Linked DNA regions of Macaca mulatta. The protein of the gene in region 3 binds, or shares a complex with, the protein of the main gene of each other region. Links are inferred from orthologs where the notes say so. Each region holds a gene or a part of one and is shown on either strand. Other genes may lie near its edges. The genes, in order: guanine nucleotide-binding protein G(s) subunit alpha isoforms XLas, VIP and VIPR1.

Region 1 (10,537 bases), on a different chromosome or scaffold from region 3:
CTACATTTTCAGTGGTAGGGATGTATGGATGGATGTCTTGTTTTATATGTTGGGACTAGAAAGTTAGTAAAAAGTCTTGTCCTACCTGTGAGTAAGTCCTCATCCTTCCTCCTCTCCCTGTCCCTAATCAATAATTCAGGTCCAGAGGAGGTACGTCACCTCTGCAAAAGGAAGCCTGGTCAAAAACTGTAGCCTGCTTTGACAAACTGCAGTGGTACAGTTTCAGCTAGCAGCTAACACTGGCTATTGTATTTCAGGCTTATGCTAGACATGGCTCATGGTTTACCAGCCCATCTTCTGGACTATGTGCATCCAAAGGTGTTTGGCCACCAGCACCCAAGAACAAAGCCAGGACAAGGTGCAAGGTGACCCTACCAAATATTCCTTTTGTTAAAGTTAATTTTTACTCCTGGTGACAAAATAAGGGGAGACAAAGGAAACTTCTAATGTTCTTAAGACTGGTCCCAAACATGGACAGTTTGCTGCAGGATTGATGGCTGCACAATCTATGGTATAAGTCTCCAGTCCTGATGTAAGTGGACTGTGTCTCCTCCACCCCCACCCCCAGGAAGAATAGAAGACTCAAATCATGGCAAAGCATTCCTTAGTGGAGATCTGCTAGGAAAGCTTCATTTCACAAAGGAGGCAACTGAAGCCCTGCATGTAAGGCACATTACCAATTTGACAATTAGGGGTCAGGTGCACACTGTCACTTGGGTCTCCTGTCTGTACCTATTTGTGTCCTCCCACCCCAAATTTATAGGTTTGCTTCCCAGGATATATACAGAAAGGGGATGACCTCCAATTCTTTTTGCTTACAACCAGTTTTCCATGGTAAATAATGTGGGTAAATTTTAAACACTAATCTGAGCTGTGCTTGGAATATTGAAATGGGTCTGTTATGGCAAAATCAGATGTCTGCAGGGAAACCAGCGCATTGTCATTTAATGTGTGGTAGCTTTAGTGTAGCTGAGACATTTGAAATTTAAAACAACTACCATATTATATGTTTTTGGGTAAATGATAATGTTATGATCTACCTGGATGGGCATACACAAAATGATCCTCACATCTAAAATTGTGATTTGTGAGAGCCACATCACAGTAGCATAGTTACATGCCAATAATGCCATTAATAAAAAACCGTCACAAGTTCTAACATATTTAACAAATGTAGCACAGTCTTAAAAACTGTGATCTTGAAATCCCTTGAAAGGTCTTAGAGAATAAAATGTAAAAATTAAGCTTGTGAAGTTCGTTTGAAAGTTTTCATTTAAACCACATATTCAGACCATTGCTAATTGCTGATTTGATTAAATGTGGCAAAAATAGTTAATGCCCCAGATTTGAAGTTAAGAAGTCTTGGGGGGCTGGGGGAGTGGGGAACTGGAAATGGCCACGGAAAGACTGGGAAATACAGGAGAGGGTCTTGCTGTGGGTTGCGGAGGGGGATCCTGGAGAGGGGAGGGCACCAAGAGGTGGGGAAATGTGAGCAGAGGAGGGGGAAGGTAGAAGGCCACCAGAATACCCTCCTGATGAGAATATCATGATTTTTAACTTCTGTAATCAAAAGACCTTTATATATTTTTTGTATCCAGAGCCAATTTGCAGAAGACCTTACCTTTGACAAGCCTCTTTGCCCCCAGCTAAAGCTGCTTGGAAAAATTCACATGCAAACATTTACGTGTTTCACAAGTCATATTCACGGTTTTGCCATACTTTGTCCACACACTTCAAATACACTCAGCGCATTTTTGGAAAATTTTTATTTTAGTTGCATTTCAAACACAAAGGTGACATTCCACTCCCAACACATATCCCCATCTTTTTAAACCAAGCCCCTCCTACTGTACTCTTTGTAAAAATAATTGGCTTACCTCAGGCTCTTCGCTAGGAAAAAAAATTATTTCATATTTTTTAAACACAGCCACGCCCACCCCCTTGGAACCAGCCCCCACGTGGTTTGGGATTCAGACTTGCCTACAGCAGGTTGTTTCCCCTCTCCCCCATCCCCCGACCAGGCGAGCTGAGTGTGTGCAGAATACTGAACACTGATGTGTGCAGCCCCGGGCGCCCCAGATACCTGTATGTCTGGTTTTTCAACTGTAAAGGCGGGAGGGTTTGGCGAACGAATGAGAAGTGAGGAAACGCTTAGCGCAAAAGGAAAAAGAGAGAAAGACATACAGGAACAAGGTTACGGAGGCCGGCAAAAAGCGATCCCCCGCTCCCCCAGGCCAGGGGCCCCGCTTATTTCCCGGGAGGCCCCGCCACCTTCCCCGCGCGTACTCCGCACGGCTCACCGCAGAGCGCCCGGGCGCAGGTACCACCAGAGTGTGCGAACACTGAAAGTTTTTTGCCCGCGCCATGACGCAAACCACAAGACAGCCCGTTCCCAAGTACAAGTACACAGTCGCCGGGTAATTTGGGGGTGCCGGGATAGGAACGGGAGACACTTTAGCGTATCATGCACAGGCGAACACAGAATATGGACACCAACACACACCAACGACAAGCTGTCTGAGTCCAAGCAGCCGTGCCAGGCGAGGCGGGGGCGCGCCTTTCCCAAAGACCCTAGCCCACCATGGACCCCACCAGCCTAGCCAGGGGAGCCCCGGGGCCCTCCCCGGCAGTTCCTGGCTCACCTGAAAGCCCCTGCCTGTCCAGCTTACGGTTGCTGGCGCTGGCCTGTCCAGCCGGAAACGACCCTCAGTGTCGCTCGGCATCACTTTTCTCCCTGGAGGGCATATACTTCGGCCACCCGAATCCACCCAAGATCCCCTCCCGCTCCCAGGGCATAGTTAGGGTCCCTCCCTGGAACTTTCTAGCAAGCTCTTCCCGCCTTTGGCTGGATCCCCTCCTCCCACTGTCGAGCCCCGAGCCCCAGCAGGCAGCCCTGCCACCCCCTACCCAGTTCCCCGGCGGCCCTGCTGCCCGCAGGCAGAGTCCGCCGCATTACCTAGAAGCAGCAGGCGGTGCGTACACATGTAGCCCATCTTTTCGTCCTGGAGTTGTTTGTCGATGAGCTTGCTGCGTTTCTTCTCTGCGCGCTTCTGGGCCCGCTTCTCCAGGGCTTCTTTGCGCATCTGTCTGCGCTTCTCCACCAGGGGTACCTTCTTGACCTTGGAGGAGTGCGAGGCTTTGGGCTGGGGACTCTCAGATCGACCGAAGCAGCCCCCGAAGGCTTGCATGAGGAAGTTGCGGAGTAAGTTGCGCTGGGGCTTTCGGCGGCGGCGATTTCGCCGATGCTGAAACCAGCGGATGCATCCGAAGGTCCCATCGTCGGACTCGTCTCCGCTGGAGTCATCGTCGCTGCTGGCCGCCCCTTCATCGTAGTACACGCGGCGGCCGCAGCTGCGCTCGGACTTGCCCCGCCAGGCAGACGCGCGAGCAGGCCGCGGAGTAGGCGGATCGGCAGCCTGGATCTCGGGGCTGGGGGGTCTAAGGTGATGGAGCTTGCGTCTGGCCCCGGAGGCAGGGGCTGCCGAGGCCGCCCGGGCGGCTTGGGCTGCCCGGGTGGCAGAAGCGGCTGGGGCAGTGGGAGCCCCGGCGTCAGGCGCAGCTGGGGCGACATGGGCTGCCCGGGTCTCAGCAGCCGCAGGGGCCGCGGGAACCTCAGGGGCTGCCCCGGCATCTGGATCGGCTGGGGCGTCAGGGGCTGCCCCGGCATCTGGAACCGCTGGGGCGTCAGGGGCCGCCCCGGAGTCGGGATCGGCCGGGGCGTCAGGGGCCGCCCCGGAGTCGGGATCGGCCGGGGCGTCAGGGGCCGCCCCGGAGTCGGGATCGGCCGGGGCGTCAGGGGCCGCCCCGGAGTCGGGATCGGCCGGGGCGGCAGGGGCTGCCCCGGAGTCGGGATCTTCTGGGGCTGCCCCGGAGTCGGGATCCGCTGGGGCTGCACGGGCTGCCCCGGTGGCGGTATCCGTTGAAGCTGCCCCGGCGGCAGGGGATCCGTACCCCGGAGAGGGGACTTTTCCTCCCTCCGCGGCATCAGCGGCTGTGCTTCCTTCCATCTCTGCTGCTTCCTCCTCAACTGGGGGTCTCTCTGCTCGCTCTCTCTTATCTGGGGCTCCGGAGACCTCGATGGGCGGGCCGTCAAGCGCGATTGGGGGGCTGTCCATGTTGACGGGAGCGTCGTCGACCCCAGCGGGGGCGCTGCCAATCTCGAGCGGGGGTCCGGAGATCTCCATCGGGGGGCCGCTGCCCGTGAAGTTAGGAGGAGGTCTGACAGCCTCTCGGGATGGGCTGCCGATGGCGCCTGGGACCCAGAGGGGAGGCGCGTTCGCGGCGGGAGTGAGGCGGACCGCACTCGAGGCCGCGACTGCCGCGAACTGGCCACCGCGGTCAACTTGTGCGATAACTCGGGAAAGCCCCGGGGGTGGGCTGTCGTCCCCAGATCCTTCTCCATCAAGCTCAAATGGCATAGTCTCCTCAGGGGGAGGGCTGTAGCCTCCTCTGGAGCCAGTCTTTGGAGGCCTGAGGGCTTGGGGCTCCTCGGGAGGAGCTCCGGGGACCCCTGCAGCACCTGGGCCTCCTGGAGCAAGGTCTGGGACCTGTAAGAGAGGTTGACTGCAGCCTGTCTTGGCAGGCTGGTCAAACTCAAAGGGCATAGCTTCTTCTGGTGGAGGGCTGTATCCTCCCAGGCCTGGTCTGGCACCACTGAAGGCTCCAGGTTCCATGAATGCTGGGCCGAAGGCCTCAAGGCCTGCATGGGCCCCACTGGGGGATCCAGGCTGCTCCAGTGTAGGCCAGAAGCCTCCCAAGCTGGGCTGTTCGACCTCGAAGGGCATTGCTTCCTCAGGAGGTGGGCTGTAGCTTCCATGGGCTCCAGCTTCCCTGAATGCCTGGTTGAGGACCTGAAAGTTGGGCCTGGAGACCTCTGGGGGTCCACAGGCCTCGCTGTCATTCTTGATGGGGATGGGCTCGTTGTGAGGCGGTTCGGTCTCCATCTCTTCGGCTGGGCTAGGCCCAGCACCGGGGGCAGCTGCCCCTGGGGCCTCCAAAGATGGTTGATCGGGCTGTTCCCCGATTTCAGGGGGGATATCGCGTTGTCCTGACATATTATTGCCGTCGAGGCAGTTGCGCACGCCCATAACAGGGTGGCGGCCTCTCAAAATAAGTTTGGGGCTCCGTAAGACGGAGCACCCAACCGAACTAGGGTGAAAAAATTATTATTATTATTTTTAAATCAAAGTACCAGCTGGAAAGTTCACCAGCCTCACTTTCCAACCCTTGTGAGGTTGGGGGGCTTCAAGGCCTGGAACCCTAGACTGAGGCTGAAGCAACTCAATTGTTGCTGGTGGAGTCTTGGCTCCTTTCTGGCCACTTTTTATCCCCTCAGTATGCCCCCCAGCCCCTCTTCCTTGGTCTGTCCTTATGCCCTCCTCTCTCTTTCTTTCTCCTCCAGGCCAGTCCCGCCTGCTTGGATCTGACGAGCGTGCCGATTCGGTCCGAAAATCGCCAGTAGCGCTCTCTCGCTGCCACCAGAGGACGCCGGTTCCAGTGCCGAGCTGGCTCCAGCTCCAGAATCCTGCTCCTCGCGCCGCGGCCCGGGACTTTGGGTAAGGGGGCTGACGAGCGCAGGCCTCGCAGGGACGTTTTGGCTCCTTCCACTCCTCTCCCTGACTGATTTGGAATCTTTCTCCTCGCTTCTCCCCTGGCCAGAGAAAGCTCTCCTGCGTTGCGGGACACGTGACGCAAGACGTGGGCCTCGGGACGCTGGAGTACAGGAGCTGAAACCCTCCCTCCCCAACCCAACCGACTCCTCGGGGGAGGGGGGACTGAAGAAGGGTTTCATCACCCCAGGATACCCCTGAAACACTGAGTCATAGCCCCCAGCCTCCAGGCAGCTCCGGATCTCAAGCCCCTAGTCCAGAGCGCAAGGCTTTTGGTGCCTGAGAAGGGGCACAGGCATGCGTGGGGATGCGACAGGTGGTCGTGAGCCCACCAGAGAAGCAGAGAGAGACGAGGGAGAGGGGATGCCGAGTATGCGAGCACACAATTTGTTTTTTAAATGCCTTGGGTGTACTTTTTACTGCTTTTGTTTGTTGCTTGCTGAGGTTGGCTCCGGTAAAGCACTTTAACAGCCCCCACCCTCATCACACTCTAGGGGTCTCCGCAGTGGCCCACGCAGCGCAAGCAGGGTGCTCCCTTGTTTATGTGGATGGTGACGCAGGGGAATAAGAAGGTCTCGGGTGCGTACCACCAAGAGCAAAGCCCCCTAGGCAGTAGCTGCGGTGGCACCGATGGAGGGGTGGGGGGTGTGCTGCGCAGAGGGGGACCCCACAAAGCGGCCGCAGAGTTTCGCAGGTCCTGCGGTTCTAGGGAAGGGTTAAAGGGGATTTTGGTTGGCGTTTATGGCCGGTTTAGGGTGATTTCGAGAGTGGACAACGCTGTGGGCACTGAACCCACAGATAAACACCATGCCGCGCGGCAACCGCAGCTGAGGTGCGCTGCTCGCTGCTTCGGGTGCCGGCCGCAGCACCGGTCAGTCTGCTCCTTTAGCCCCACTACAGCCTGTCTCCAGCACCCTTCCAGCCCCTCTCCTCTCGCTATGGGTATCTTAGGGTAGTCGCTTTAGTTTTCCACTGCTAGAGCCTACTGAGGCGGCACTGAGCCCGCCAACCGGCCACAAACCCGGCGGTTGCCCGCGCAGCTGCGCTCCCGCTACCATGCTGCGGTGGGCTCAGAGCTAGCCAAAGGTAAATACCCAAACCACCTGGTGACCTTGGTGTGTGCACATGCTATGCTCTGGTCTGGGGTCTGCAGAGGGATTTGAGCCCGGGAGAAAAGCTGCTGTTAGGGGGTCACGTAAAACCCGGCAGGTGCGCATCAGGTCGGTCTCACCAGTAAGACAGATTGGTGAACCACGTCTAGGCACAGAGCAGCTGGGCAGGAGGCAGGGGGTCACCTGACCTGCAGAGTCCTGCGGGAGGAGAGGCTGGATGAGCGTTACACAGGGCGGGCTGCAGCAAGCAGGGCGCACAGCACGGGCTGCTGTATGGGAGCTGCAGGCGGGCGAACCACTGCACGGTGCGATACCGTCTAGTCTAACGCATCCCTCTTAGAGCCAGGGTACCACAGGCACCGCGCATCCTCCCCCCCCCCACCCTGCTTCCACCATCCACGTGGCCACGCAGCATGGAAAGAGGCGAACACAGTAGGACCCCGGTAAACGTTTGGGATCCCCCAAAGATATGTCGCTTTAGCTCTATGGGTCTACACACTTCCAGCTGTCAACACTGAACTTTGATTCCAACTTTGGCCAACTAACTCCACACAAAACGGCTTAGCCACTTGGGCATCCACTGAACCGCCGCCCAACTGGGTCCCAGCACCAACTCACTCCCCTACGACCCCAGTGCCGGGTCAGCCATTGGGCTGGGGTCATGCCAATCACGGCTGCCTGGCGAATGAGCAGGGGGCGTCAGACCGGAAACCGGATATGGGTGGGAGGTCCAATAGGGGGCGCCGCGTTGGAACGCCCGAAGAGGTTGTGCTGCTGGGGTGGTTGGAAGTCGTTGGGGGGAGGGTGTATGGCGGCTAGGCCTGGAAGACCACGAGGACCGCTAGCGCCGTGGGGTCACCCTTCCTCATGCCACAGGTTGCCGAGCCTCGGGGGAGAGGTGGGGTCCCAGGGGCCAACCTTTGGGTGCGTTGATGGCGGCAGGCTAACCTAGCCAACGGGGTGCCGCTGCCGGGAGAGGCACGGAGCAAGAAGATTTCCAGGGCTGGGAGGTAGAGGGCCAGGACTACAAGGAGAGGGCTTACTGCGAGCAGCAGCCCAGGATGGCTAAGGAGTTGAGGCCCCAGGGATGCTGAGCCTGCACAAGTGGAAGGTCAGTAGACATTGGGGTTGAAGCCCCAGGGAGAATGCGATGGGTGCTCCGAAGGGGTGGTTTGCTCTCGTCAGGCCTCGCGCTCACCCCCAAAGCACCATTTGTCGAGGAACGGGTTCAGGGTCTCTGTTCGACACCCTCATGGGTCTGTGGGACCCCTTTGTTCATTCTTTCTGGTCTTATGATTCTTTGCCAGGGGAGCACATGCATCGAGGTGATTAAAAAAAAAAGGTTAGGCAAATACCAATTCCTCATCCTAGGGAGTAGAGCAGCATAAAAATGAAAGAAAAGACTTCCACTTGGGGGGACCTTGAAAGTCTTGGTGGAGAAAATGGCTTTTTATATGGGCCTCCAAGGAAGGATAGACGCCTTGGCTATGAATAGAAGGTAGTAGTGGGGGATGGGAGACAGTTTGCCCACCACGAACAAAGGAAATAATGGTAAGAAACATGGGGCGTGGCTGGGTAAACACAACTGGCCACCTTGGCTGGCTCTTCAGGAGCAGGGGGAGAAAAGTCAGGAGAAATTAGATAGAATCTCTCTGAGGATGGCATGGAGTATGAGAGCAAGCACTTTAAGGCTATTTTGGCAGGAAACAGAAAGGATATTGAAAGTTTTTTGTTCTGCAAGTGAGGATTTGAGCCTACTTTTAGGAAAGGCAGAAGCAGCATGGAGGATGATCCTGATGGAGAGAGAACAAAGGAAAGGGGTTATGCACAAAGGAGATGTTTAAAGGAGAGACCTAGCACGGTGAAGGAAGCAGGAATGCTGAAGGATAACACTCAAGAGGGGTCCCAAAGGATCCTCCTGGAGCACCTCTTATTGCTAGAAAGACACAAAAAATGGAGGAGCCAAAGTGTGTCACCCAGATGGATGAAACACTGGGAGTTGGACAGGGAAGTCAGTGGGAGGGACTGGCAAGGTGGCAGTGCTGATTTGGTTTTAGACATGGCAGAGTTAAAGGAACTTTGAGCAGTTGGGATAGAGATTTTTGCAGGGAAATCTGAAATTTAGGGAGGGAAGGTCTGAAATTTAGAAAAAGATAAAGATCACACATTCAAATTGGCAATCGTCCTTACAAAGATGAATTCATGGAGTCAGAAAATTCTTTAGGGGAGAAATACATTTGGTAACAGAATCTTGAACAATTGGTGCAGTGGACAGGAAAAAGGGATACAGTCCAGGAGTGAGCAGGGAGGACTCAGAAGGGAGAGATGGGAGCACACCAGAGGAAGGGGTTTCAGAACCACTCAGCACATTTTATCTAGACTTGGTGTTTTAGCCTCTGCACTAGTGGTATTCGGGGCCAGGCAATTCTTTGTTGTGGTGACTGCCCTGTTCATTGTAGGATGTTGAGCAGCATCCCTAGCCTCTACCCACTAGATGCCAGTAGCATCCCCTTAGTTTTAACAACCAAAAATGTCTCCAGACTTTGCCAAATGTCCTCTGGGGGGCAAAATCTCCCCCAGTTGAAAATCACCACTATAAGCTGAGAAAGGACCCTTAGATTTGAATAGGAATTGCCTTAATCTAAAGGTAAATTAAGACTAGGAAGGATAAATCCCAGTATTTAACCCTGATATTCCCCCATTTTCCCACTCTTGTTGTTTCTCTGTAGTGACTGGCTACCAGTCTCTGAAAAACCTAAGTCCTTTAGGTGAGTGGAGCTAGGAGTTGAAACATCAGTAGTGGGGTCAGGGACCCCAGAAATGTGGCCAAATATTCGAGGAGTTGACCCACCTGTGGCACCTGAAAGGCCACAGGGACCTGAGGAATCTGGTATAGTAAGAGCTGGGGGTGATCAGCTAGTGGGTTTACTGGGTCCACCTTGATTGGCCTGATTGGTTGGCTTGTCTGGTGATCTTCCTGAGGGCTGATAATTTTGCTAACTCAAGAGAGAAACAAGACCTTGATCTGGATGGAGATGGCCAGTGCTGGATGTTAGTGGGCAGCGTCATCTGGGGCCTAACCTTGCCAGGGACGTTTTTAGGATCTGCCATTATAATTGTGTAATAGCAAAGTACCTTAAACATAGCTTTCCAATGCTGGATGGATTGCCATCGTGGGAAAAGATGAATATGTGATAGGACTGAGGAAGGAAAGTCTATTAATGTGTTCATGCAGCTAAGGAAGAGGAAGTCAGGAGAGGCTGGTGCCTGAAAAAAAGGCCGAGTTGGGATAGATAGAAGCTGTGTGCCAGGGTCCTGACCCCTGTCCTGAGGGGCTGTGTGCTGGAGTGCAGGGCTGCAGTGAGATGATGTGTCAAGTAAGGGACGACAGTATTGGCTGTCAAAACCCAGGGATGGGTTACTTGAAAATTGTGTATACTTGGCTACTTAAAAATAATAGCCTCTGCACTTGATGTACTAAGAAAGGGATGGGAAAAATTTCTCATGCTTCCATTAAACTCTGCATTTCTGAGGAAAGCCAAATGGCCCAGGTGCCACAGGTGGCAAATAGTGGCTTTTGGAAAATATGGAACCCCAATGGAAAGAATGTATGTATTTCTTTACCGTTGACTCTCTGAACAGCACCATTACAGCCCCATTCCTTGGTAGCCCCACATGATGCCCTGGGCTTCCCAAACTTAGTCTCTCACCTCTCTCTCTCATCTCTCACTATTGACGCTTTCATGGCACATGTATTCAACAAGTGATTGTGTTTCTACTTACATTCTGGGATTCTTACTCATTACCAAAAGCACA
Region 2 (10,627 bases), on a different chromosome or scaffold from region 3:
ACAAGCTGAATTTTACTTTTGCTGTAAGAAGTCTGCCATGTTTCAAGGAATATAGTTAGACCCAGAATGCCCTGATATTTTCATGATAATGGGCCATGCTCTAATTTGGTGGTATTTCCCTGTACTTACTTAAGTGAGGTGCTAACAGTCAATTGTGGGACTAAACCTTCAATTAATAAAAGCAGCATGGGTTGATCCTCAAAAGGAAAGCCCATTTTTTCTTGTCAGTCTGAGTCAGTCTCCTCTGTTTTTTTTATCTTGATACAAATGTAGAAATAACCCCAGGTGAACCAGGAACACTATTCAGATCTCAAAACGTTTGCTTATTGTGAGTGTGCTCTTTTATGAGATCAAAAAATTGCATGAATCATTCTAAGCTGTTTACTGGGTTGGGGTCCACTGTTGTAGGAGTGTCTGTCTTGGATGAGGTCTCATGATGAGAAACTCTTTAACCCTAAGACGTTTCTTACTAAGCGACTCTTAGCTACTTATATAATCAGAGACTGCCGTAAGAATACAGAAGGAATGCACAAATATACCCACCACTGGGAAGTTGTCATCAGCTTTGCTCCAAAGGGCTTTTTCATCATTTTTCTAGCACTTCTGGAAAGTCAGGGGATTCTCCCTCACTGCTGCAGAGCAGAAAAACATTGTGCATATTAAGGCTCTCAGATGAGAAAGGTTCTAAAGAAACTATTTTGACATAATGGCTGTGCTGTTCTCTGTGCTCTGAAAGTGTATTGGGGGCTAAACAATTACCTTTGAAGTTTGTTAGTACCTATGAATTATTTATCCATCTTAAGAGTTTCTAAAATTATTCTTACAGAATTATCATCTGTAATGGGCAAAGAAAGTCATCTTGTCTGATCACACCCAAACAGAATTATCCTTAATACTCATCATTTAAACAAAAACAATTGGAATAAAAAGACAGAACACTACACTGTTTATGTATTGTGTCCGATGTTTACACACCACAGAGAGATACCGATTTTACAGAATCTAAATATACAAAATACCTAATGGTTTAATTTGATTAAATAAGAGTATTGAATATGCACATGAAGTGAGTTTCACATGTTACCAAATTGCAATTGACTATGCTTTACATGTTTTAAAAATCATCACTTTTGATGAAACTTGCTCCTAGATTCAGACTAGATGTCTCTATAGTCATCATTTTTAACACTGGCAGCACAGTAACGTCAACTGGGGAACTCTTAAAAGAAATGAATGCCTAGGGCCACACCACGGAGGACACTGATTTCCTGGCAATTGGTTTGGGGAAAGGCCCAGACATCGGTATTTTTAAAGTTCTGCAGGGTAGTCTAATGTCAGCCAAGGTTGAGAATCACTGCTTCATGTGGTATAGATAGTGAGATAGAGAGGTCTTCATGTGCAGCTTCTATTTTGAAAGTCAGTCATGATTTCTCATTTTAGCAAGTTCTTTTTCTTTACCTCCTCTTTCCATTCAGAATTGAGTTCAAATATTTCTTTACAGCCATTTGTTTTCTAAGGCGGGTATAGTTGTCTGTGAAGACTGCATCTGAGTGACGTTTGACTGGCACAGGGTCTTCTGAGATGTTGCTGCTAAGGAACATGAGGAAAAGGAAATCAAAGAGTTTTCACAAGAAATGATAAATACACACATGTTCCAAGTTTTTTGGAGCCACATAAAAAGGAATTCCCACGGCCAACTAATTTTCTATCATAAAAAGACTGAAAGAAAAATACAACTGAACCTAAGGATGAAGGCGAAGCAAGGAATCATCTGTCATATTTTGGCACGACCTGGGAATGTTTTATGACACATTCTGTACAGCTGAGCAAAAAATTCATCCAAAAATAAAAATTTGGGGATAGCTGAAGTTGTGCTCTGCCACTGGGAGAAAACCTTTTTAAAAAAACATAGTTACTTCTTTAGAAGCTATGCTACCCTGAGCAACGTCATCTAAATATTTGACTGTTAACCATTTGGCATTCTCCATTTAGTTTGAGCAGGAAGTAAAAGGAATATTCTATGGTTGACCTTAACATTTACCTCAGTCTATTCTATGTCTTCTTGATTGTTTTACTGAGTCTTGTTCAATTTGATTGCAGATTGGTAAACGATTGCTACTTGAGAAAAACGTGTGTCTGGAGTCAATGAGTACGATATTATGAAAAAGTCTTAATCCATGGGCTTGATAGATATTATTGAACAATACAAGTTATTTCATTTAACTAAATTAAACATTATCAATGAGTTTTCAATTTCAAACAAGGTAAATAGCTTGTTAAGAGTGAAAATACAATATTCAGGTTGAATAAGAACACATTTTATAAAAATAATAAGTTTCTTTACCTAACACGTTTTCCCATAAGAGACTCAAGGTACTTTTTGGCAGAAAGTTGACCCAAGAGTTTACTGAAGTCACTGGTGAAAACTCCATCAGCATGCCTGGCATTTCTAAAACAAGGAAGAAAAAAATAGCTATTATTTTGTAAATGGCTTTCTAGAATATTATTGTGGCTCATTAAATAACAAAAAATTATGGGTTTATTATGAAAGCTTCTCATTAAAACTAAAGTTCAAAAGGAGATTTCTTAACTCCCTAACAAAAGAGATCTAGTCACTTATATCAAGATATACCCTGTATTTCTAGCCCAAGACACTGAAAAATTAAAGAAACAGGCATTTCTAGAAGCACATTTCAATATTCCTTCATGGTTGAATCTTTATAACTACTTTTTTCTAAGAAATATTGGTGTAAAAATATGATCTATTTAAATAGGCTGCTATTTGTACATGGTGCTTTGTGTCTGCCCCACTGAATAAAGACATACACAATGGGAAAATATTCTGATTTTGGAAAGTTCATAAACCCCAGTATAGCTTTTTTTTTTCTTTTTCCAAAATACTTGGAAACAATACCTCTTAAGATAGAGAAGGCATTAAAGCCTATCATTCTACCTTTTCTCTTTCAAATGAAGAACCTTTTATACTTTGTCTATACCAAGTCCTGTAGAGCTACTTGGTCTGTACTTGAAATGATGCTCAGACAAGCAGTTCTATCAGCTCTAACTATCAGATACCTTTTCTTTATATAGAGACAAAACTCCTCAGCAACTCTTCATCATTGGAATGCTAAATGCTGGAGTTTTATCAGAATTGGTACAATCTGTAATGTTGTAATTATGTGCAACAGAATGGAAGTGAATGATGTGTTCATCCTGGCTTGTTACAACCTTTCAGTATGAAAATCATGTACAGCTGTAAGAGCTGCAATAAATCAGGATGAATGAAGCCATGACACATGGAAACCTCTAGTGTTTTGCTATTGGAATAGCTTCGTGGTGAGATAAAATTAGCACGTTTGTAATTCTTAAATACATTTGCTAAAATAAAACTCACTGGATAGTTTTATAAAAAATAAACTCACCTGGATACATCATAATAGGGTGTGTCATTTTCAGCTAATGCATTTTGCAAGATGTCCATGTCTTCTTTTAATGAAACTTGATCAGGTTCATTTGCTCCCTCAAAGGGTAGTCTGTCACCCAACCTGATAGGGAAGGTTACACGAGAAGTATAATACATTCCTTTTTCAGAAGACAGTGCGAGCGGTTCCGCAACCATTTAAAATAAGATACTTAAACTCTTGGGAAGTATTACCCAGTCACAATATGAGAATAACATAATTTGACTTAATGGCTCACATAGTTAATGAGAGCATAAATAGGAAATTCCTATTGTCCTACAAAGTAGATGTCATATGACTTTTATAAGCTGAATATACAAAACGTAAGAGCTACTTAATTCAATCTTATCGAAGCATTAAGCAAACTATACTTCTTTGGTGTACTTTACTATGCCAAGAATATCTTCACTTTGCAAAGTCAAATTTCACATGTAGAAAGATTTTATGCAAAATAGAAACTTGGAAAAAACTAATACTGAATGAAAACTGGTAACAATTTATGTATTTGGTGATGTTCAGTATCACCTGTTCCAAACATCTCTGAAGAATGGAATATTAATTGCTTCTCTCTCTCTCTAGACCCTCAAGCTTTGCTTCAAACATTTACCTTGGCATGATATATTTCTCTGTATTGGCAAAATTCAAATAATGTCTCCATAGATGAATAGCTCATCTATGAAGATGAATTTGAATTCAATAAATTTTATGGGACCTTCCGGTTTCTAATCTTATGTATTAACACAACTTTAATAAGGGATGTACAATGTTACACTGAAGGACTAAGAATAGTCATATGCATACATGGAATACGACTATATTTGTAGATGCCTGCATATTTCAATTACTGACAACTCTTATACTTTTGTGTGTACAGATTTTCACTGTTAGGGCAAACCTCCAAGGAGTGTGTCAGCTCCTGGACACTGCGTATCTTTCAGTGATTTGGGAGTTGGGAGTCACTAGCAAGTAGTCCTCTGTGGGTCTGAAGCTTAGCAATCAACAGAAATGTCAGCATTCTTATGATTGTTCATCTGCTGTGATAGAACTTCAGATGAAACCATTTTATTTAGTTATCGAAGCAACACAGGAGCTGTATTTAAACAAATTTCACAGAGAACACTAATAGCTAAGAGGTTATTCTCTCTATTGAGCATAAGTCTACCTTAATCAAAAAATCAAGAATGAGCAAATAAGCAAAAAAAAAAAAAAAAAAACCAACTGAATTATTATTTTTCCTTTGGAGATATAGCGGTGCCCGTAAACCGAAAAGAAAAATTCAAGCTAATGTAGTTTTCATTTACTGTTTACTTCTTTAGCATACATTAAGAAAGTTTTAAATATGAGTTATATTATACTTTCTAGATTTGAAATACATAATATAACATATAGAACAATAAAACTAAGGATTTATGGTTCAAAGTATATCAAAATTTACCCATTGGGGGAGTGTATCTCAATAGATCAATTACCTCATATTTAATATTGGCAAATTGACTCTGCCTAGATAGATTTCTGTGCAACATGATTTTATACATGTTTCACTAATCAACTGCTAATCTTATGATTATTTACTGATTAATCTTGAAAAATAAACTAAAATGTGGTTGGCAACTAAACTGCTTTTTCTCCACCAGAAATTGAACTGACTTAACAATGGATAAAAGCTTATTATTCATCTAAAATTGGTGTTGAATAAAAAGAAAGTCAGAGCCTCCTTTCACCATGTTTGGGAATGTGATCCACTCAGCCCATAAAACTAATCACTGACAGTGTCTCTCATGCCCTGAAAGTGAATTCCAGGATTCAGAATGACCTGACGTTGACCTCTCACTCAACACATCAAGCAAAAATGTAAATTAATAATACATAATTTATACTATTCAGTTGTCCAACAAAACATATAGGAAATTCCCATTTAGATGAAGAAGGAATGCTCAGATGTCTGAATTGAAAGGGAGCTTACCCGAGAGCAGAAGGTGCCCTGTAAAGAGGCCACGCCGACGTCTGTGAGAACAGCACACTGAGAAGGGTCAGAAGCACAAGGAGCTGGGCCTTATTTCTGGTGTCCATTTCTGTGCCTCTAAAGAGAGAATCACCTTAGTTCTTCCAACCACAGATGTCACCAGCAAGGTAATTCTGAGTGCCTAGCAGTAATTTTCAATGGCTCTTGAAGAGTTTGTAAAGAGTAATTTTCCTCTTGTAGAAAGAGATAAATTGCAAGATGATACATTCAAAAATCAATATTTCTCTCAGTGACAGGTACTTGAATAAAAAGTAGAATCCTTTTCACCTGCTGTCTGGGCACATGGTTGGCCCCAGTATCTATTGAATGCCATACTTCTATAGTGCTGGAAATAACCCTGGGGACAATCTTTTCATAACAGGGCTGTACCACCCAGGCTTAGTGTATTTTTTGACGAAGGAAACAGCTTCAAGACATTGATTTTCTTCGCTTTAAGATTTCAGTATCTGATTAATATAAGACTGGGGTATCATCTATTTAATAATTCTTCTGCTCGTGTTTGTACAAATGTATAAATATAATATGTATATATACATATAATTTTTTAAAAGATTTTGGATCTACATTACTTTTTCCTCTTTCAATTGTAGATATTACTGGAAACTTATTTCCTTACACCTGAATTTGAACATCTTAACTCAGTAGTGAATATTAATACTCAAAATATCACTGAATCATATATTGTCACTGAAATGAATTTTTCCATCAAAGGAAAATATATGTTAAAAGCAAAACTTGCATTTCTTGCATTTAATCAACTTACACATTTCATTTCTAGTTTCTAGATTAAAAATTTAGGAGTTCAAGGTCTGTTTCTCTTGCTGCCTATAAAAATTACAAAATTTAAACTTAAGGCAAAAATTAAATGCATCTTAGATTCACCTAACCAACATATGAAATAGGAAAAAAAAAAGCAGTGTAAAAATAAGTTGAAAATTTCAAAAGCAAATGTGCCCACTGAAATTTTCAGTCAAAAATCTACATACAAGTAAACTTGATTTGAATGAATTATTTTTGAAAATCAGTATTCAGTAAAAGAGCAAGCAGAGTAAAGCATCTTACAAACAAAAGAATTCAGAAAATCTATCTATATGAGAGAAATTGAAGTATTTCTATCCTTACCAGGTGACTTGAGAAACTTGTCTTTTTGCTATTGCAAAAGCAGAGCACTATCAAATTCTTTTCAATAGAGAGAAAAATTCAGTATGTTGTAAGAAAAGTTTCAGAGGCAGGAGGGAAAAAGAAGAGGAAAGGTAAAGTTTTCACTTACCTTGCCCACTCGTGCTCCCCAGGAGCTGCCTGTTCTGGTTTGTTTTGGAGCTGTCTTAGGTGCTGAAGTCCTGGGAGTAAGAGGAAGGCTCCACCAGTTCTCTGCCCTTAGCAATGGCTAAGGGTTGGCTGTTACTGCCTGCTGGTGCTTCTCACTCTACCCTGACCAGCATTTCAAAGCCCATCATTTTATAGGGCTTATACTTGGGACTGAGCAATCACAAAGCGCTCTGAAAGACGTCACAGTATGACGGCCATGGGATGAATAGTGCTTGAAGTTCTTACTTAATTGTCATTATGTCTAATTTATATAAGTTTATAGTGAGTAACTTCAAGATGTAAGATAAGAGGAAATTTACTTTTGTTTAAACAAACAAAGTAGCAAGCTCAATGTGAAATGTTTTAACCTTTACTTAATTGTAGTGAAATAAGAAAATGATTGTAGTGTTATAGCCATGGCCACTGGGATTCCTTCAGAAAATAAAGACTTCATGTGTAGAAACAAATGCAGAAAGCAACAAACACTTATGTTCATTATGCTTATAAATGTGTAATTATACTTTATTACCTAATATCAATTCTGTTAATATTTTTAATTTGTATGCTATTCATATAGATCCAGATTTAATCTTTCTTGAAATCTATCCTAACTTTAAAAGCTCTAGAGATAACTTTCACCTTTCTATTATTACATTTCCTTTTTGTTGAAACTAATCCCAAGATAAATGTTTCAGAAAGTCTCTAAGATAGTAAGATATACACGCTGTTGTACAAAGCAGTAGAAGTAGTGCTATTTCATATTTGTATAGAAAGCAGTAGAAGTAGTGCTATTTCGTATTTGTATAAAAAGGCACAATTCCCAATGCACTTTTACATACACTGTGTCAAATGATCCAAAAAATAAATTGTTGTCAGACTATATACCTCAAGGAATTTAATTATCTTTTCTTTTTAAAGGTTTTCCTCATCACTTATATAAGTCTTTGCATAATGTAGAATTAGTTTTCTACCCTCACCCCCAATGCACACACACATACTCAAACCAGTTTGGAACATCTCTGATTCAATCACTTGACAGGTGGCTTCAAATAATTAGTTGAAAAACATTTATGTAGTCCTTTGATAAATACTTCACTGCTATTTGTGGATTTGTAACTAAAGGTAGCTTAGTACGCATTCAATCAGAGTTTAAGGTAAAAAATGCAGCCACATGAAAAATTTCCTAAACAACAGAGTAAAATGTCATTTTTCCTTTTGTGTTAAAGAATTTCTGCCATGTGTATTATTTTTACATTTTGTTTGTAAGTTTCATAAGAAAGAATGACTTTACAGTCCTCTTTCTTCTACTTTAAGATTTTAGTATCTATTTGCTTCATTCAAAGTCAGACTGATCCAGTAAAAGACTATCCTGCTATGCTTAATCATATTTTCTAATCCAGTTACCAGAAAAATTAAATGAATTAAATTTCAAAATGTCTGGAAATTTGTTTCCCAGTTGACAGCTCTGACTTAAGCCAGAGTTCCTGTGGCTTAATTCCAGGAAATCTTTTTTTACCTGATTATTACAAACTAGAGGTTGAAATGGCTCTCATATGGAATTTTTTTATCCTTAGCTCTTCATCACCCAATTCTTAGTGAATCAATTTTATTTAAGAGCAGCAACGGCAAAGCAACTTAATTGAGGGTCACAGACAAATTACTGCTGAATGATAAGAAGAAAAATTTTAAACATAAAAGATGTAAAGCTGATTATTATTTGGCTTAGGCAAGCACTTAGCATTTACAAAGAGTAACTATAGTGGCTTTTTTCAATAGAAAAGACAGTTGCTTCTATTATAATAATAATAAACTAAAATAAAAAGAAATAATTCAATTTTATTACCTCTGAATAAAAGTAAACTTAAAGAACTGCATTTTCTCTTACAAATTTAAACTAGAAAGCAAAACAATTTGAAAATGGAACCATAGCACCATCTGCAGGTTCAAAGTTTTAATTCACAGATTTTATAAAATTGTGTTTATTTTTTTCTTTTCTTTCAAGGAAATGAATTGTAAACCAGAGGTCCTTTAACCGGCTTAACTTATGGATGCTTACAGAAAAAATAAACATAAAAAAAAGTACTGCAGTTGAATTTATCCTGAATTCTCGGTTACCATAAAACTTAGTAAATAAATACAAAAATACAAATGTGAATTTGCTCTTTAAATCTGTCTTTTCCGTACTTTGACATATTCTTCCATAATTTGCCTACATTTCTGGCAACGTTTATTTTTGCCTTACGCCTTCTTAGTAAAGTGGTGTTTGTAATAAGGGGAACTATAATTCATTTGTATGGGTAGAAAAATCTTCAAGATCCTTCTTTTACAGATAAGTAAACTGATCTCCAGAAAGTTTCAGTAATTTTTGCCACTCAGGTGGTTAATAATAAATACGAGACTGGAAGATAGACTGTCTGATTTTGAGTCAGCACTCCTTCAGTTTAGAATTGGTAATATTCTGTAATTGTTACTATCACCATTTTGATGCTAGCAGGTCAGATATGGACATTGACAGCTCATAAAAATATTGGCCTCTCCTCTCCTCTTTTTCACCAACAGAACCAAGAGCAGGGAAATAAAACTGGCATTCTAAATTCAAAGGTAGTGGATGCAAGGGAATTAGATGGAAGGGATTTTTAAGCTCAAGATATTAGCAGAAATCCAAATTTGCCTTTTTTTCTTTAGTGCAATATGCTAATAGAGGGTCCATATTCTTCTTATGGATTAAATGCCTAAGCTTATGCTCTTCTGCCTCTTTGTATGATGGTTTTATCTGCCTAATTTCCCCTGTTTCACCTCCAGTCCTGAGACCTAGCCAGTGTCTACCATGGTAATCCTGAGTGGGTGAGTCTAGATCAGAGGTCTGGAAACTACAGGCTGTGAGCTAAATAGACTGACCCCTCTGGGTTTTGTTTGTTTGTTTCTTCATTAATTTGTTTTTGTTTGTTTATGTCTTTCAAGCTAAGAAGGGTGTTTATATTTTTAAATGGTTAAAAAAATTAAATGAACTTTTTGTGACACATGACAATTATATTTTATTATTTTATTTTATTTTGAGATGGAGTCTCATGTACTCTGCCATCCAGGCTAGAGTACAGCAGTGCAATCTTGGTGCACTGCAACCTCTGCCTCCTGGATTCAAGCGATTCTTGTGCCTCAGCCCCCAGAGTAGCTGGGATCACTGGTGCGCACCATGTTGGCCAAGTTTTGGTCTGGAACTCCTGAGCTCAAGTGATCTGCCCGCCTCAGACTCCCAAAGTGCTGGGATTACAGGTGTGAGCCACCTTACCTGGCCAAAACTTATATATAATTTAAACATCAGTGTCCACAAATAAAGTTTTATTGGAACATAAAACATTTCATCATATATGTATTCTCTATAGTTGCTTTTGTGCTACAACGGCAAGGTTGGATAGTTGCAACAAACTGCACAGCTCTCAAAGGTTAAAATAAGTACTATTTGGTCTTTCACAAAAAACGTTTTTCAATCCTCTAGATCCTCCTCTTTGGTAGATATTTAAGATGACATGTTTGCTTTAATATTCTTAAATCCAGTATCTTTCAATAACTTGTATTAGGAAATACACATTAGTGTATATATATTTTATATACCTAATGTATAATGTATTATGTGCTGTATATATGTATATATACATAAATAAATATATCCTATACAATATATTATACATGTATGTATGTATAACATACAGAATGTATACATACATTTAATATACATGTATACTTTTACTAAAAGTATACATTTGCATAAGATGTATATACAAACGTATATTTGTATAGCATATTAAAAGTTTATATATTTAAAGCATATATATTA
Region 3 (9,907 bases):
CAAGGCCTCATAGCAAGCCGCTCTCGAGGAGATCGAAATGGCAGTCACCATGGGATCCCAAGAAGCAGCCAAGAGTCTCCCTCCAGTCTGGGCCTGGAAACCAGCAGGCCCTATATCTGTAGAGGGGGACATGAAGGGCAGGAGGGAGGTAGCAAGGGACTTTAACCCTGTGCTGGGAGGGACACCCCACTGGAGGGGTCAGGGCATGCGACAGTGGGGGCGTCAGGGCATGCCTGGGCCAGGCTGGGCTCCACCATGGGAGGGACACTTGCCAGGTCTGCTTTGAGGCCTGTCACTTGGGCTGGGCCTCACCTAAGCAAGCTCAGGATAGCTGTGACGACCCGAGGGGTGGCGAGGTCCACCTTTCTCCCAGTCTCCTCCCACTCACTATGTCTCAAAAAGCAGTCATGGCCCCCGCTTGTGCCTAGGATCCTCCACTCAGTTTCTGGAGCCAGGAATTGAGGAATGATCCTCTCCCCCCTCTCCCCCATCAGTCACCAGCCCTTTCCCAGCTGCTTCTTCCCCAGCACCACCACCACCTCATCTCCCCCGGATTAAGTAGGAGCCCCCTGCTTTCCTGTCAGCTCCACAGCCTGAGACAGCTGGAAGGATCATGCTAACACCCAGACCTGACTGTGGAACTCTCCTGATTCCCTGCCATGGAACTCTCCTGATTCCCTGCCATAGTGCCCCATCCCCGTCAGCAAGGATGAGCTTCCTAGGCTGGCAGCAATGTTTTCTTATTTATAGCATCATGATGCAGGTGGTGAGGGAAGGGAGGTATCCCATAGACCCCACAGACATGGTTAACATAGACTGTACATCGAATTTTCTCAGCCAGAATGGCTCTCCCATATTTATTTTTTAAAATATCTCTTCAAATATTTGAAGGTAGAGGCCAGGCATGGTGGTTCATGCTTATAATCCTAGCACTTTGGGAGGCTGAGGCGGGAGGATCATGAGGTCAGGAGATCGAGACCTTTGTGGTTAACACGGTGAAACCCCGTCTCTACTAAAAATAGAAAAAATTAGCCAGGCGTGGTGGCAGGTGCCTGTAGTCCCGGCTGCTGGGACGGCTGAGGCAGGAGAATGGCATGAACTCGCGAGGCGGAGGTTGCAGCCAAGATTGTGCCACTGCACTGCAGCCTGGGTGACAGAGCAAGGCCCTATCTCAAAACATCAATATAATAAAATAAAAATAAAGAAGTGAGCCACCGTGAACATTTTGGTGCCTTAATGAGCTATTCCTTGCCTGGCCAAACTCCCTCCTTCAGGTATTTTATCCAGCCTATGTAGATGACTTTTTTCTAACTCTCCACAATTTTTATCTTCTATAAGCTTTCTTTAGCTTTCCCTGTAGAACCAGGTCCCTTCCTGTGGGTATACTTCTTCCCAGGTCTGTATCTAAAAGGGTGTGAGTTGGTGTTGCCATCATCCCTACCCCACACTTGCAAACTTCCCTCTTTGGAATTTCAGGTCGGTTGCCCATACCTTAATCTACTTGCTCAGGAGAACACCGTCTTTTTTCTGTTTTCAGTCCCTAATCGCAGTTTCCTATTTCTCTCCACCATTTTCAGAGACCAGGCCCACAGAGTATGGCTGTGTAAGTTGTTCACTGTACAGGGCACCTGGCTGGTAGGCATATTCTGCTTGCCACTAGGTGGGCTCTAGTGAGAGGTCATCTCTGCCTGAGGAAGGACTGACTTTTTCTTGTCAGTTCAAAGGCACCGTATGGGCCCCATTGATGCCGGCAGCCTCAGGGTTAGCTAGATGGTGGGCTGGAGTCCAGGTTCTCAAGGGCAGGAGCTGCCTTGACACATTCCAGCAGGGACAGAAGGAAGAGCCACGGGGAGAAATGCAGTTAGCAGAGTCTCAGGGAGAAAGGCAATTAGCAGGTGCTTCCAGGGATCAGAGAGAAGGCTGGTTTCCAGGCTCAGTGATGGCGTGCACTGTGAAACCTGCCAGAGGAGCTCATTGTTATCTGCCCAGGCACTGGGTGTCCCAGGAGGAGGTGGCCAGGCCAGGTGGGCATTGGCCTGGAATATGGCATGGCTGTGACCTTCCCAGACTCCTCAGGAGGGCTTTAAGGTCTGTCTTTCACCACTGAGATCACAACAGCAGTCACTTGGGGGCAAACCGGCTTACCCCAAAGAGACCCTGGGGTCTACCACCCATCCCCACTTTACAAACAGGGAAACTGGGGTCCAGGGAGGAAAAGGCCACCTGGAGTGAGAGACACATGAGTTCTGTTCGCTCTCTGAATAATTGTCTAGGTTCTGCTCCTCATGAGTCCTCCCCACCCCAGGCCTGCCCCTCCCTCCATGCTCCCCACCCAGTCCTGCTCTTTCTTCCCCAAGGCTCATTAAACCTAAGCCTAGGGTGGGGCCTGCTTGATTCCTCCCTGCCTCAGTCACGCCCATTCCCTCCATAAACTCTCCCACTTCTCTCCCGCACTGAGCTCACTACCTGAATTCAATCCATCATCATTTCCTGCCTGCCTTGTGATTGGGTTTTCCTGTTTATACTCTTAGAATCCTTCCTTCTCACAGAAACCAGTTAGAAGTTAAAAACCTAAATTGGACTTTGTCAGTTCCCCGCTTAAAACCCCCCACTTCTCACTGGACTTAGGAAAAAACTCAAGTCTTCGCCTCTGTCCTCAAGGCCCTGTGTGGTCTGGCCTCGGCCCGCCTGTCCCTCCCCTCCCTCCTTCCCCGGCACTCTCCCTGCTCCAGCCACACTGGCCTTCATGGAGCTTCCTTGGATGCTTATTCCACGGGCTGTTGATTCTCTCTCTCAATTGTTCCCAATCTGGGATCTTTGCCTCGTGGCTCTTTCTCACCTCCAGGTCTTCAGATGGCAGCTGAAGTGTCACCTCCTCAGAGAGGGACTGTTTGTGAACCTCTGCCTTAAGTTGGTCCCCACTCTCCTTATTCTCTCGTCCAGCACTTTTTATTATTGATGATACATCTGTTTATTTCCTTACGAAATGTCTCTCCAATGAGAACACTAGCTCTGGAAGAGCAGCCCTGGGGGCTGCTTTATCCTCTCCCCACTGTGTTTGTCCAGCTCAGCGCCTGGCACACGGGTGGGTGCTTCATTCACTGCACAGAAGAATGACTGAATCTATATTGTAAACCTCTTTAATGACTCACTAGCAAGAAAGCCACATCCTAAAGGGGCTCCCCCTTTTCTTTTCTGCCTCATTCTGTGGACATTCTGTGGACATTCATTTAAGTGGAACATGACAAGGTGTATAAGCAAAGTCGTGTAGTGGCTTCATGGAGCCCAAGAGGTCATAGACTCCAGGCATCGAAAGACTGAATCATGACGAGCCCAAGACAACAGGACTATCTATGGGAACCATAATTTAATCAAGTACCTGTCAGTCAATCAGTCATCAATTGTTGAGCAAATATTTAATGAGCCTTTCCCATATGCTTATCTTTATGTGAAGAGCTAATCAAATCCCGTGAGTTCTTTAAAGACCTGGCACCATTGCCTCCTCTGCCAGGGAGTCCCTCGGATTGTTCCAGCCTCTTTGACCACTTTCCTTTGACTTTCCACTTCCTTGAGAGGTGAGTCCCACGGCAGCCAGCACCACTCACATCACCTTTTCAACCCAGGGGTCTTACCTTGAATGGGGGAGAAGAGCTTGAAGATGAGGGGACAGGCCAAGACAACAACCTGGCCCCGAGGGGTGGCTGGCCAGCAGGTGAGGTTGTCCCACATCTTGCTGCAGCCTATGGGGGTAAGGCAGAGGACACGTGGGTCAGCACAGTGCGGGTGCCTCCAGCCCTGGGGCCTGAGGTCATAGGCATCCACTCTCTTCCTCCCTCTGCTGGGCTCCCACCTCAAGGAGCCTCCAGTCTGAGAGGGAAGGCACAGGCTTGCCCAGGCTGCATGGAGCCTGTCCTGACAGGGAGGCAGGGAGGAGGCCTGACTACAGTTCTTTGGTCCTTAGTGAGGGATAGAGCGCCCCCTGGGGATGTTTCCAATGCCAGTGGTGGTTTTGATTGTTACAGCAATAGGGGGGCCTCACTGGCATTTGATGGGCAGCCACCAGGGATGCCAGATAGGCAACTCCTGCACAATGATGAATTGTCTCACATTCTGCATGGCTTCCAGATGAGCCACTGGCCATATGTATAGGTGAAAACCTTTCGTAATGAACAGAGCCTAGACTCTTATACCATTTTACATATAAACACAAGCCATTTACTTTATTATTTATTTACTTATTTTTTGAGACGGAGTCTCACTCTGTCACCCAGGATAGAGTGCAGTGGTGCAACCTTGGCAACCTCTGCCTCCTGGGTTCAAGCAATTCTCCTGCCTCAGCCTCCCGAGTAGCTGGGACTATAGGCCTGTGCCACCACGCCCGGCTAATTTTTGTGTTTTTAGTAGAGACGAGGTTTCACCATGTGTGGCCAGGCTGATCTCCAACTCCTGACCTCAAGTGATCCTCCCACCTTGGCCTCCCAAAGTACTGGGATTACAGGTGTGAGCCACTGTGCCCAGCCAACACAAGCTATTTATTGCACAAGTTTAACATACATGGAGTTTTCCAGGAATGCAGCCACTGAGAAAAGGGAGGGAAGATTGTATTTTGTTTTGTTCTGAACTTCACTAAGAGTTGTTCAATGTTTTGGAAAATCATGACACCCATAGCAGTACTGCCTGTGATACTTGAGTCACTGATGCAACTGCCCGTGTCCATCAGTCTGCATTTGTAGGCCTCGCATTCTCAGGATTTATATTTGTAGGTACAACCTTCAGACTACATCTAGTGTGATTATGCTTGAATATGTACATGATACTTTATTATAAATTACTTTCCTTTTAATATTTATCTTACAGTATAGCTAGAACTTTATTTTTAATAAAGTGGATGGGCGTGTGTCCTGAATTTCATATTATGATAATAAAGGAGGCATTAGAAAATGTTTTGAGACTCTGTCTCAAAAAAAAAAGAACTACATGCACCCCAGTATACTCATCACCCCATCATAGTCTCGCTCTGTTGCCCAGGCTGGAGTGCAGTGGCGCCATCTTGGCTCACTGCAACCTTCACCTCCTGGGTTAAAGTGATCCTCCTGCCTCAGCCTTCTGAGTAGCTGGGATTACAGGCGCCCTCCGCGACACCCGGCTAATTTTTATATTTTTAGTAGAGACGGGGTTCCGTCATGTTGGCCAGGCTGGTCTTGTACTCCTGACCCCAGGTGATTCACACTTGCCTCGCAGCCTCCCAAAGTGCTGGGATTATAGGCGTGAGCCACTGTGCCCAGCCCACACCTAGTTCTTGAACAACACAGATTCCCCCAGTGTGGTCGGATTGTGAATTGTGATGGAGGGGAATAGTTAGGGAACAAATTCAGCAAAAACCCTCCATTGTGGCTGCATTCTCTGCCACAGCTATCAGCCTTGCAGAGCCTGGCCAGTGAAAGATGCACAGTGGGGTCTCCAGGGGTCTGCTTTAATAGGCACATGCAAATGCCATCATTTAGTCTGTTCAGGAGCTGCATGCCCCTGACGGACTAGGACTGCTCTGGACCCGTCCCATGCAGGAGGCTTAATTGTCTCTTTGCAATCCTGCCAGTCCCATAGATTTGCTCAGAAAACCCAACCCCCTGAGCCAAAGTCAACGCCAGCTTGGCCAAGCCCAGCCCAGCCCAGCTCAGATCCGAAGGTTCACAAGTTCTTAAGAAGGGGGTCTGGGAAGAGGAGGTGGAGGGACATCCTTACTTGGGGAAGAGGCTCAGGACTCTGTGTGTTGGAGTGGGCTGGCAGCAGCAAGGGGCACCTTCTGGGGCTGCAGCAGTCAGGCCACACCTATAGCTAAAGCCTGAGGAGGACACCTGGATCCCCAGGGCTTGACCAGAGATTGCAGCCTCCCTTAGTCATGGACCCTGACCACTTTTCCCTGTCTTGAGGGCTCTTGTGGCCTCACGCTGGCTGCCAGTCCCTCTTCCATTCTGGGCCAGCCTCTCTGAAAGCCGAGTAGGGGCACTTCAGGTCAGTCAAACCCTGCTGGGGGTTCCAGACCCTGTTAAGAATATCAGCAAACACTCATATAACCTTTGCATGTGCCAGGCACTGTTCTAACCTCTTTGGATGAATGACTTATTTAACGCTTCCATTTCACAGATGAGGAAACAGAGGCACAGCGTGATTGGACAACCAGCTCAAGGTTATGTTGCTGGTAAGTGGTACAGTATATTCACATGTTCCCACTCCTCTCGGTCGGAAGGGCTGTCATTTCTCTGGGAATTTTGCCGCTGCTGGACTTTGTTTACCCCTCTCTGACAGTGCTGGGCACGCCCTGTTATGCAGACTGGCTATTGTGTCTGGGTGCCTGCCAGACTTTGGGCTCTCTAAACCTCCGGCGGCCAGCACAGGCTGGGGAGTGAATCCGGGGCTGGGTCTCTGGCCTTGAGTTCTGCTTCACTGTGGTGGGACAGAAGAGAGGAAACCAGGCCCTGCCCTTGGGAGGCCACACTTGGCCTCAAGGAATCTTAGCATGACCAAGGCTGGGCTGTGAACTAGTGCTGGGGTGAGGGCAGCCAGCAGGGCAGGGAAGCAGGACGAGAGGCTAATATGAGGGACATGGTTGGGGAAGCAGGGGACGGGGTGACAGCCATGAATATACTTGGTACCTGGAATGGCCTGTTGTCCTGGGCTAGGCAATGGGAATATTTCCTGTGTGCCTGCCCTAATGAGGCCCCGCAGGTCCCATCACACATGTCACCAGGCCTATAGAAATACAGGGCCCAGGCTGGCTGTGTGTGCCCACAGGTGGGGCTGTGCCCCCACCAGGAAAGCCCAACCCAGAGCTTGGGGTAAGGGTTGGTGAGGCAAGGTGAGGTGGGGTCTCTGCTGTGTCATTCTGTAGACTTGTGTGCACACAGAGATACACACACTGATGTGTACATGCCAGTACACAGAACACCAGGCACACATGCAAACATGCACACATGTACACTTACCTGAACACAGGCAACAGACACAAGCAAATGGGCACAGAGAGACACACAACTCACAGAGACATACATTCAGAGAGACAGACATGTCTGGGTGTACCACTGACACTCACACTGATAGACATACAAGCCACACAGAGACACAGCACACTGGGCAGACACACCTAGGCATGTCCACAGATGGCATGTGCCCATGCTTAAATAGACACACACTTCTGACTCACAAAGATACTCAGTCAGACACAGAGCTATAGACCCCAGAGGCAAGACGCAGCTCCAGACAGACATGGGCCAGGAGTACATACCTAGATGTGCATGAACACGCACAGAGCCCTACACAAGGCCACAGGCAGACTCATGGCCACAACCTATGCCCGCCCTTCTCTGCATCCCAGCCTGGCTGCTGGTGACAGGGTGTTGGCACCCAACGGGAACGCTGTGCCAGCAGTGACCTCATCGGAATCACGAGGGTGGCCTACCCCTCGGCATGGGAGGTGCGCAGTGGAGTCTAGAGTCCGGGCCTCTCGGGGCTGCCTATGATCCCACCGTTGGGGCCTGCCAAAGCCTATCTGCACCTGGTCCTGGCTCCCTGCACTGGTGGAGTGGGGTGGGGCCTGTAGGTAGTGGGCAGGCCCAGCCACCCCTGGACCCATGCCTCAGTCTCTGGGCCCTAGAGTCAAGGGGTTGTCCTGCTTTGAGATCAGGGTAGGCAAAGCCCATCTGTGAGGCTACACTTACTCACTGACAGAGCAGGAGGCAGACAGCCTGGACACCAGGGCCAAGAAGAGGGACCTGGAAGGGGTTACATAACTGTCAGCTTTAGAAGGTGGAAGGGGAACTAGGGAGCCAGGAAGATGTAAAGATGCTCCCTGCTCCTGAGCAAGGCTGTTACATAAGTGTAAGCTCAGCCTCAGGGAGATAGCCTGGGATGGAGGCCCAGAATGAGCCCAGCCATCTCACTGCCTCCAGCCCAGACGTGCCAGGCTGCTGTCCCTGGCAGTAAGACTTGAACCTGCCATCCATGCCCCATTCCCCATAGGAAGTCTGCCTCAGTGCCTCCCACCTTTCCAGACTCTCCGTTTCTCCAAACCTGCTCACCCCTCCAAGTCTGGTTCAAGTGGTACCAAATAATTCCACCCATTCTTACCTGGAGCTGCTGAGCCAAAAAGAGGGTGCTGTCATCTGTCCTGATAGCCCTGCTGTCCAGTCTAGGTAGCTGGGCACCACCCTTCACACTGCCAGGTGGAGCTCTCCCAGCCCCCTGAGGAAGAGTGGCTGGGCCTCTGGGGCTGACCTTGACTGGTCTCATCAACCAAATAATGAGCTGATGGTTCATCTGGTCACTAAGGGTGGGTTGGGATGGAGAAGCCAGTGTGTGCACCTGTATGTGTATGCTTAGGGGCTGGGCACGTGTGTATGTGTGTGTATGTGTGTGGCGTCACTATCGGTCCTCTGGGTGTGGCAGAGGCAGAGCCTGGGGTTGAGAGGGAGGAGTGAGCCTAAGTTTCCAGGCTGAGTGTTGGCTGTGGTGAGTATTCCACATCTGTCCAGACAAAACTTATGCCCTTTCTTGCTCTGGACCCCTAAGATGGCTTTGAGCTTCCATGCGGTCCCTGTGGGGGTCACATATTGTGACTGAATGTCCCTCTTCTTCCTTTGAGATGCTAACAGTACAATGTTATAATCCTGGAGTATGGTATTATGGGGCTAGTTCTCCCCATGTCAGCTCCTGGGTGTCCTGGAACCTGCCTACCCTCATTGGTCACAGGTCCCCCACCACGCAGCATGCTGGGCCTTGTGTCCCGGGTGGGCTGGCTGCCATGGAGATCTTCACTTTTCCTGGAGAAGAGGGATAGGGACCCCCAGAGGCAGAGTTGGCTCCATGTACTTTTCAGAACCCCGATTTAGTATGTCCTCCTCAGCTGCAGCTGGGAGCTCCCCAGACCTGGGGTGGGAATGTGGAAGCCTGTTAGCCCCTTTCTTCTTCCATCTGGCTCCCCAGCCGCTCCTCACCATCATCCAACAAATGTGGAACGAACGTGACTTGGATCTCAGCTCGAGACATGAGGAATCGTGGACTCCCTGGGGGCATGCAGCCCCCCCTCTGCCCATGGGAGCCTCACCTGTTGTCTCATTCTCCAGCTGGGCCTCCTCCAGGCACTGCTTGTGCTGCACCTCGATCATCTGCACATAGTCACACTCCTCCTGCAGCCTGGCTGCCTGGCCGCCCTGGGGACAAAGACAGGGAGGGCCCATCAGCCTTGTTCATAGACTCGGGAGCACCAGGCCCAGTCTCTGGATGCACCTGCCCTCTCCCTGGAAGAGATCCAAGTTCCATATGGAACCCCAATACCAACCCCAGACTGAAACCTGAACCTGACTCCAACCTGTTGTCCATTGCCCCCAAACCTGAGTCGGCCCTGAGGACCCTGCCACAGCTTCTTGATGGCTCCCCCAATAGTGCTGCAGCTATAACTGCTTTGTCTCTTTGTGGGTGGCACAACTCCAGATGGTGGCAAGAGGGCCTCCCCTTAGAGGCCTGAGCTGGCCCTCTGGACTCTGCCACTCTCCAGCTTGGCTTGAGTCTGTCCCTGTCTCGGTCTCCCTGATGAGTGGGGCCAGCTCGTGCTATTACTCTGTTATGTGGAATTGGATCCTGGCCTCTGGTTTCCACTGCCAGCCCCAGGAAGAATCCAGGAGTCTAGCTGTATTTTCCAGCTGCTGTCATTCCAGGATTCTGTGCTCAGTCCCCTGGGTCACCAGGCTAGGAAGGGGACTCTAGCCTTCCTTGCCCAGACCTCACCTGTCTCCTTTTTAGTTTCTAAATAATTCAAGCTATACCAGATCTACTGAGGGTAGGGAGGTTTAAGGAAGTAAGAGAGCACCTCTAGGATCCCACCAGGCCTCCCCTGCCTCTGGAAAGTGAAGAG

What was found.
Region 1: the proteins of VIPR1 (region 3) and guanine nucleotide-binding protein G(s) subunit alpha isoforms XLas are in contact, whole or in part, in a cryo-EM structure (PDB 8E3Z), measured with the Homo sapiens proteins. The link is inferred for Macaca mulatta from reciprocal best matches to the Homo sapiens genes VIPR1 and GNAS. Residues at the interface, in NP_004615.2 of Homo sapiens: Arg174, His178, Tyr239, Leu240, Leu243, Leu244, Ala245, Val246, Ser247, Phe248, Arg252, Leu319, Lys322, Leu323, Pro326, Asp327, Ile328, Arg329, Lys330, Ser342, Leu345, Leu346, Leu391, Asn392, Gly393; in NP_000507.1 of Homo sapiens: Gln35, His41, Val217, Phe219, Asp323, Arg342, Asp343, Leu346, Tyr358, Pro361, Phe376, Cys379, Arg380, Asp381, Ile383, Gln384, Arg385, His387, Leu388, Gln390, Tyr391, Glu392, Leu393, Leu394.
Region 2: the proteins of VIPR1 (region 3) and VIP are in contact, whole or in part, in a cryo-EM structure (PDB 8E3Z), measured with the Homo sapiens proteins. The link is inferred for Macaca mulatta from reciprocal best matches to the Homo sapiens genes VIPR1 and VIP. Residues at the interface, in NP_004615.2 of Homo sapiens: Glu36, Cys37, Val40, Ile43, Asn69, Phe90, Leu92, Phe93, Tyr118, Ile120, Asp125, Asp126, Asp132, Gln135, Thr136, Tyr139, Val142, Lys143, Tyr146, Tyr150, Arg188, Lys195, Phe200, Ser202, Glu204, Ser205, Gln207, Cys208, Met219, Phe222; in NP_003372.1 of Homo sapiens: His125, Ser126, Asp127, Ala128, Val129, Phe130, Thr131, Asp132, Asn133, Tyr134, Thr135, Arg136, Leu137, Arg138, Lys139, Gln140, Met141, Ala142, Val143, Lys144, Lys145, Tyr146, Leu147, Asn148, Ile150, Leu151, Asn152.

Annotation. Positions count from the first base shown.
Region 1 is NC_133415.1:111,638,463-111,648,999, reverse strand, and holds the start of guanine nucleotide-binding protein G(s) subunit alpha isoforms XLas, read right to left. Parts: upstream 5,103-10,537; 5' UTR 5,088-5,102; coding exon 2,957-5,087; intron 1-2,956. UniProt on the Homo sapiens protein: Guanine nucleotide-binding proteins (G proteins) function as transducers in numerous signaling pathways controlled by G protein-coupled receptors (GPCRs).
Region 2 is NC_133409.1:71,481,790-71,492,416, reverse strand, and holds the start of VIP (vasoactive intestinal peptide precursor), read right to left. Parts: upstream 6,920-10,627; 5' UTR 6,755-6,919; intron 5,542-6,754; 5' UTR 5,532-5,541; coding exon 5,425-5,531; intron 3,546-5,424; coding exon 3,423-3,545; intron 2,450-3,422; coding exon 2,345-2,449; intron 1,591-2,344; coding exon 1,459-1,590; intron 633-1,458; coding exon 587-632; 3' UTR 544-586; intron 1-543. UniProt on the Homo sapiens protein: PHM-27 and PHV-42 are two bioactive forms from proteolysis of the same precursor protein, that cause vasodilation. PHM-27 is a potent agonist of the calcitonin receptor CALCR, with similar efficacy as calcitonin.
Region 3 is NC_133407.1:105,859,369-105,869,275, reverse strand, and holds part of VIPR1 (vasoactive intestinal polypeptide receptor 1 precursor), read right to left. Parts: intron 9,207-9,907; coding exon 9,101-9,206; intron 3,741-9,100; coding exon 3,633-3,740; intron 1-3,632. UniProt on the Homo sapiens protein: G protein-coupled receptor activated by the neuropeptides vasoactive intestinal peptide (VIP) and pituitary adenylate cyclase-activating polypeptide (ADCYAP1/PACAP).